Coturnix japonica: one gene and its partner. The protein of the gene in region 2 purifies or fractionates together with the protein of the main gene of each other region. This does not show direct contact. Links are inferred from orthologs where the notes say so. Each region holds a gene or a part of one and is shown on either strand. Other genes may lie near its edges. The genes, in order: PPP2R2A and SIK2.

Evidence for each region.
Region 1: the proteins of SIK2 (region 2) and PPP2R2A purify together in Homo sapiens (affinity purification with mass spectrometry; 3 studies listed by BioGRID and IntAct, with this or other methods). This does not show direct contact. The link is inferred for Coturnix japonica from reciprocal best matches to the Homo sapiens genes SIK2 and PPP2R2A.

The regions. Positions count from the first base shown.
Region 1 is NC_029537.1:1,754,891-1,758,709, reverse strand, and holds part of PPP2R2A (serine/threonine-protein phosphatase 2A 55 kDa regulatory subunit B alpha isoform), read left to right. Parts: intron 1-465; coding exon 466-631; intron 632-989; coding exon 990-1,102; intron 1,103-1,399; coding exon 1,400-1,577; intron 1,578-1,843; coding exon 1,844-2,008; intron 2,009-2,603; coding exon 2,604-2,773; intron 2,774-3,307; coding exon 3,308-3,399; intron 3,400-3,682; coding exon 3,683-3,819. UniProt on the Homo sapiens protein: Substrate-recognition subunit of protein phosphatase 2A (PP2A) that plays a key role in cell cycle by controlling mitosis entry and exit. Involved in chromosome clustering during late mitosis by mediating dephosphorylation of MKI67.
Region 2 is NC_029539.1:45,889-49,707, reverse strand, and holds part of SIK2 (serine/threonine-protein kinase SIK2), read right to left. Parts: intron 1,716-3,819; coding exon 1,599-1,715; intron 1,310-1,598; coding exon 1,246-1,309; intron 1-1,245. UniProt on the Homo sapiens protein: Serine/threonine-protein kinase that plays a role in many biological processes such as fatty acid oxidation, autophagy, immune response or glucose metabolism.

The DNA of each region.
Region 1 (3,819 bases), on a different chromosome or scaffold from region 2:
CAAACAGTCCCACCATCCTTAACAGGCCAGCTGCAGCTGTGACTTGTACTAGCAAAGATGTATTCATGAGAGAGCTGAATGTAGCACTGAATAGATTTGCTTCACAAGTAGCTGTGTTTCTGTTGAGGAAATATCCGCCTTAAACAAAAGGTGGGAAAATTAATGATGAGGGAGTGGTAGACTTCTTGTCTTCAATCAAAACTGAAGTTCTTGCAGTAGAGATGATCCACCTTTAGTCTGATCTGCAGGCTTGTTAAAATAAGGCCAACTTTACACCAAAGGATCCTTGCACCAAATGTGGTGTTGACGGTGGTGGAGTGTAGAAGTCTCATCCAGCTTATGTGTTAATTAGCAGTTTGCCTGTGTATGTTGCTGCATAAATATCTAGTTCTGGCTTCTCTCTACAGCCTTGCAAAGCATTTTGTATGTTGCATACCTACCTTGATCATTTAATTCTCTTTTTAGAACAAAACCCAGTCTCACAGTAGGGGAGAATACAATGTTTACAGTACCTTCCAGAGCCATGAACCTGAGTTTGACTACTTGAAAAGTTTAGAAATTGAAGAAAAAATCAACAAAATTAGGTGGTTACCCCAGAAAAATGCTGCTCAATTTTTATTGTCTACAAATGGTAAGCGATGACTTTAATATTTGCATAACCTGTTGTTGCATGGGTTGGCTGTTAGGGTGCGAGTACTTCCATGAGTCATTCATAATAATCTAAACTGAAACTTGCTCTAACTTTGTTAAAAGAACAAACTGTGGAGGAGGTCTCGTTAATGCTTCTTATCCTGTCTTGTTTTCTTTGTGTAATCTTGAGATGAAGCAAAACGTGTATCTAAATGAATTCCTTATCTCCAAGTATTTTTTTTGTCTTTTTGGTACGTGTAGGTGGTCTTGTTTGAAGGCTTTGTGTTAAAGTGAATCAGCCGTGAAGACCAGTGTCATGGCTAGAGCTTTGATTTGCAACTGTGGCTGTTTAATTTCAGATAAAACAATAAAGTTATGGAAAATCAGTGAAAGGGACAAAAGACCTGAGGGCTATAACTTAAAGGAAGAAGATGGACGGTATAGGGATCCTACTACAGTTACAACACTACGGGTGAGTGGTTCCCTGCATGAATTTGGCCATCACTGTTTCCATTTGGGGCCACGTGAACGTGCATTTGAGAGGTGTTGTCTTTCCTGAGCTCACGTGGCTCAGGGAGTGAGTGCCCCATCACACGGTTCACGTTCTCTGTGATGCTCCAGGTATTGTCTGCTGGAACTCTTATTTCTGTGCCTGCTGTTCTGCAGACACAGTTGAATAATGATTTAATGAGCTTTAGAGTATTGAAGGACTGTGCTAATGCCTACATTACATTCACAATTCAAACTTTGATTGCTATGTATTTTGCAGGTGCCAGTATTTAGGCCCATGGACCTCATGGTTGAAGCTAGTCCACGAAGAATATTTGCCAATGCTCACACGTATCACATCAATTCCATCTCCATTAATAGTGATTATGAAACGTACCTGTCCGCAGATGACCTGCGGATTAATTTGTGGCACCTAGAAATTACGGACAGAAGTTTTAGTATCTTTTTTGCATTGTTTTGTATGGCATATGTGTTTAAAACAAAAAAGTTTTATATTTCATGAGACGTGTTTGTGTAGCATGGCTTTGGCTTCCAAGTGTTGTCCTGCTCCCAGATTTCAAGCATTATCTTCCTTTTGTATTTTTGTTGGCTTGTTTTAGTTCTGTTTGGCTGTTTCAGATGTATTTTGATGAATTGTTGAATGCCTTTAAACTGAAAAATATGTTGTGGAAACCGGAGGAAATTCCTTAACAAAATGGTTTAGATATTGTAGATATTAAGCCAGCCAACATGGAAGAGCTGACGGAGGTGATAACAGCTGCAGAGTTCCACCCAAACAGCTGTAATACATTTGTATACAGCAGCAGTAAAGGAACGATTCGTCTGTGTGATATGAGAGCATCAGCACTCTGTGACAGGCATTCAAAATGTAAGTTCTGGCCTGTATTTATCTTTTGTGGACTGTGGTATCTTGCTGCTAGATGAAACGAAGCACTCACTAAGTATGTATTAAAGCAGGGAGTAGCATTAAAATACTGAGTGATATATTTTTAGATAGGATTGCTGTGGTATCTTTGGTAGATAGAAAACTAAAAATCTAATTGAGTCTTAAAATTAGATTCCTATTTAGTAGAATAAAAGTAGTGAATAGAATTATTAGCAACTTAAGTCCAGACAGCAGGGCGAGGAATAATTTCCTGCAGACTTGATGAGTATTGGAGCTGCTGAATTGTTTGTTCTGCATATGAATCCAGAAATCTCGTGTGTGAATGAAGCCTCCAAATACTCCCAAGCAGTTGGCTTGCTTAGAAGTTAACCTTGATTTGCAATGACAACGAAACATTTCACAGTATTTCCAGGTATAGCAATTACACAAAACCTTTGAAAAAGGGTTTTATAATACATAAGGTATTATAGCGCAACATGGAAAGTGTATTGTGCTTAAAATAACCTAAATTGGGTGTTATTTTGTATTGGTAATATAGAAGCTTACCTCTTGAAATGCCTGCTTTACTTCTTTGCAGTGTTTGAAGAACCAGAAGATCCTAGCAACAGATCGTTTTTCTCTGAAATCATCTCTTCCATATCCGATGTCAAATTTAGCCATAGCGGTCGTTACATGATGACTAGAGATTATCTGTCAGTGAAGATCTGGGATTTAAATATGGAGAACAGACCTGTGGAAACATACCAGGTATTTGGCTGAAATATTGATGGACACTTGATGGTCTTATTCCTAGTCCTGATGTAGCTGTTAGATGTATCTGTAAGTGACTACGGCCAGACAGAACATCAGTGAGATGAGTGGGTTTCACACACATTAATGGATTTTGCTATTTGCAGGCTGATGGCAGAACCTCAAACCATGTTTTGGTGTGAAAGTGTCCCTCTTATACATTGGAAATATGGGAAGGGAAATTTCCAGCTGTGAGGTAGCTCATCTCTTTTAGCCTTCAGTTGATTTCACAGTGTCCTGTTATTTCCTGGAGTACTTGGAGGTAAAACCTTTGCTTTGTAGAAAAAGTTTTTAGCTAGAACTGACACTTGTTGAATTTCCAAGCTACTTTTGTAAGAAAACTTTTGAAGGGATCCTCTTCATCATCCATAGAAAGGCGATGGGTCACCAAAACGGGACTTCTAGGAAGCAGCCAGGTTTGCCAGATGCTATTCTAGAGGTTATTTTACAGGTATGTCATGCTCAATATTAATTGTTCTAACTTTTTCCCAGGTGCATGAATACCTCAGAAGTAAACTTTGTTCACTGTATGAAAACGATTGCATTTTTGACAAATTTGAATGCTGCTGGAATGGATCAGACAGGTGAGTGCAATGTTTCTCTATATGTTTGCAAGGCTTCACAAGTTGGTATTGAAACAGGCAGACAGCCTGAAGCCTCTAATGTATTTTGCTTTTATTCCTGGATTGGCTTGGATGCTATTCTTATAATTGCTGTCCAGGTATTTGAGATAAATAGACTTTAACATGTGTGTTATAAGTGACACAGTAGCATGAGGTTATTGGGAATTGCCTTAGTTAAGCAGATGAAGAATTGGAATGATCTTCAATGGAACTTTTCCTTCTTTTCCTCTGCCCTTCTCTGCAGCATTGTCATGACAGGATCCTACAACAACTTCTTCAGAATGTTTGACAGAAACACAAAACGAGACATCACCTTGGAGGCATCACGGGAAAACAACAAACCCCGCACGGTTCTGAAGCCACGTAAAGTGTGCGCGAGTG
Region 2 (3,819 bases):
CATCAGGAAGGATTCAGAATTGCCTCCTACATCCTAATAAGAATGAAGCTCATGACCAAGGAGCAGCACTCATTTCAGCAGCCCTCAAACATTTCCAGGAAATGAGGAAAAGCTCACAAGGCTCTGGTCTCCTTTCTGCTTTTCTCTCTCTCTCCTTTTATTGAATACCACCTTGGATTTTCTCTACTTCCCGGTTAGGTAAAGTTGTCCTAGATATACTATCTTGCTTACAACAGACAGTCCAGTGATAAGGACCTAAAGATGAAAAAGAAGATAAACCAAACAAGAAGAAAGGACTTTAACCATTCGATTTGTTTTCATGAAATTCACCCCTTGGCCCACAGTGCAAGAAATGAATTTAAGTCAGGCTCCACCTCTTCTGTTCTCCAATCATTAGGGCCTTCCCCATGGTGAACTCTATTCTAATGCCCCTCAGAGTTTGTTCTGCCAGGCAGTGTTGATTGAGTGACTGTGAAACCTTTTCTCAGCAACTCCAATTTTGTGACTGCCACTAAAATGAATAGGAAAACTCAAGATGCCTGGATGTCAAGCATAAAGTCATGAAATCAGCATTTACAAAGCTCAGTCCAATTCCTAAACCATGCAACAGTACATGTGATATACAGAGTACTCCTGATGACAGCATACCAGTATGTCAATCTCTTATAATTTTTTCATTACATATTAACTCCATCTCTCACAATTACAGAAAGATGCTATATATATCACCAGTCAGTGACTGGCTTTCCACAGTAGTAGCCACACTGTTTTTCTAGATCTACACAAAGAACACTAACACTGCTTCAGACATCTGAGCAGGCATCCTGGAGCAACCAGGAAACTCTTCTGATTCCACTTGCTTTACTCCGTGGACAGAAAGTAAGAGCTTGTAACCAGGATGCATGTCAACAGTGTTCTCTCCTCTGTCTGTGTGACACAGATTCTTTTCTCCAGTTTAAACAAACTTTCAGGTCAAAACCCCCGCTGTAGTTCACTATCATAGCCACTTTATATTATTCCTGGGAACATAATTTTTGCTATTAAATACTGTATTATCACTACCATCCAGCACCATGAATAACATCTCTTTCTACCCAGCTTTTCCAGACAGATAAGAGAAAAATGACACACACATACACACACACACACACACACACACACAAAAGGGCTCTCAACAAAATCAATGCAATTAACGAAGTGCAGAAGTTAGCAGTTAGCTGGATGTGAAAACATTCTCTTACTTACCAAAAATTTCTCCATTTTTGGCAAATTCTGTCACAAGGTATAGCATGCTTTTGGTCTCCATCACCTGTTGATAGAGAAGCACCACATTATATTAATTGCAAGAAGAGCAAAGAGCCACCAAACCAACATGAATACTTTCATTTACAATTTTTTTCCTCCAGTATAAAAGAAGTGGAAGCCTGTCCTGGACATAAAGTTTAGTTTCTCACGTTGCCTAACCAGTTCTGAGGAGAGCATTTGCACAGCAGGAATAAGCCTACCAAAGAACTAGTTATCTGCCTTTTAGGAATGCAGGAGGTGAACTCTACAAACAGGAGCAAAGAGTGAGAAACGAAGAGGCACTGCTGCCATACCTGGTAGAGCTTTATGATGTGGGGGTGATCCAACATCTTCATTATCTGCACTTCACGGTAGATCTTTTCAAGATTCACAGCATCCAGCTGAGATTTGTCTATTATTTTTATTGCTACCTGCAGCCAAAAAGCAAAAGAGAAATTACAGCTCTCACTGACTCCTTTATCCTCATTATAAGTACCATGATCTCAGATAGATGGGAGCTTTCTCCTAGCTCAGAAACACATATCCCACACCCCAGCCTTTAAACATGGAGCAGCACAGCCCAAGACATGGCCATAGTGCCACGGGGGAGTTCACAGGATGCTCTGCCAGCAGCATTCCAACTCCACACCTGCAAAAATGGTACTGGAAAAGAGAAAGCATTGGCTCGACACAGAATCAAGACACGGTGGGTGCACATAGTTCTAATGAGACACTTATTTAAACTTCAAATAATATGCTGCTACGCACGGACATCCACAATTCATCCAGTCAAGGAAAAAGCTCTGTAGCAGAAATGCTGAATCACACCCTGAAACAGCGACGGAGCACCTGGTGAGAAGACAGAGCCAGCCCAGAGCAGCTGAGGTACATGCAACGTACTGAGTGATGGAATGGCTGGAGCCAGCATTCAGCCCTTCCAAGCCCTCATTTAAGGGTCAGCAGTGGAGGCAAAAGTATCTTGCTGGAGATCCTTGCCTACCTGAGGCCTTCCCAAGGTAAGCTGCTTTCCTCCCCTCCCCTTTTTGTTTTATGTCTACGGCTGCTGCTTTTGGGCTTGTCCTCATTTGCTGTAGCCAAAGAATTTGCCACCCCACTATTATCACTGTACTTTCCATTACATTATAGCATTATATGCTCCATGAAGCAGATGTCTCCAGGTCAGATCTCACCAACAGATCACAATTAGAGAACAGATCCTGGTTCCCGTGGCTTTGTTTTTAGCCAATATCTGCAAAACAAGTTACAGAGGACTGCACTTGCTTCAGAGACCACCACTTTTTCTTAAAAATCAAGGAGTAACAAATATACAGCTGCTAAAAAACATGAAAAGGATTGGAATATGAAGATTACTAAATAATGAGTGATGTTTATTCATCCTAAAGATCTCTTTATTAATGCTGATGTGGGAGCAAGCGATGTAAGTCATCACTTCTGATGATGACCAGGTTTACAAGGTGTGGAGCAATAGCAGACAGGTGCTGTGCAGGAGGAAGACTGCTGTAGAGCAAGGGATGTGAGCATTGTTGGTGCAGCTTAAGAGCTGCATGCACCCACAGCTCCAAGTCTCCACAAACTGGTAGATCACACCTCGTGAACTCGGTTTTTCTTCTGCTCCCAGGAACAAGGAAGAAATCCCTTCACTACTTCACTAGAAAGCTACAAAATAACAAAGTAAACCACTTAAGCTGGACAAAATGCTTAACAAGCCCAAGCCTCACTTCTCCACTTCCTCTCTGTTTTCCGCTCTCGCTGGAATCCCCTAGAGAAGGTTTCTTGTTCCTTCTCCACCATCTGTCTGCTCAGCAGCTGCCATGGAGTGACCTCCGAAGTTAAGAGAAAGGGAAACCACTCTTTCTTATTTACAAACCAACAATCACCTGCAGCTACCTTGTATTCCTGCCTCACGCCAGTGGCACATCTTCAGGCCAGCAACAAGGTGAGGCCCTCTGGACAGCCCCTGCCTCCTTCATTGGCCTCATGTAGTGCAATAAATCCTGCTGGCCCTGGTTAGTATTAAAGTGCATGGCAGCCTAACTGGGGATTGACACAGCACCACGCTCAGCAACTGGAGGTATTGACAGCAGCTTCTTTTTCTCCTCATGCATGCCAAGCAAGTGGCTGCCTGGACTAAAAGAAAAAGAACTATTAACCATCCTTGTACAAGTCTGAGTGCGAAAGTTATCTCTGCTCAAACAGTGACAGTCTTCCACGTGCAGAGCAGCACAGCAGCAGCTGGCACCACTGCTCTGTGGTCAAATGCAGATTAGATAGCTTGGTCTATTCTGAACTCTCAGTTCCCACACATCTCACCAGGTCCTGGGAAGCTCAGAGAAAAACCTCTTGGAAATCCATAAAATCCAGCAACTCCTTCACCACATTGAGAGGAGGAAGAAGCATTCAGCAGCAATGGCTCATTTTTGTCCATAGCCTCAGCTGTGTCATGATGACAGGAAAAGGGGAAGTTATTCCTAGAGGTGAAGAGCTGTTTCAGGACGAGGAAGTTTCCTATCTGAA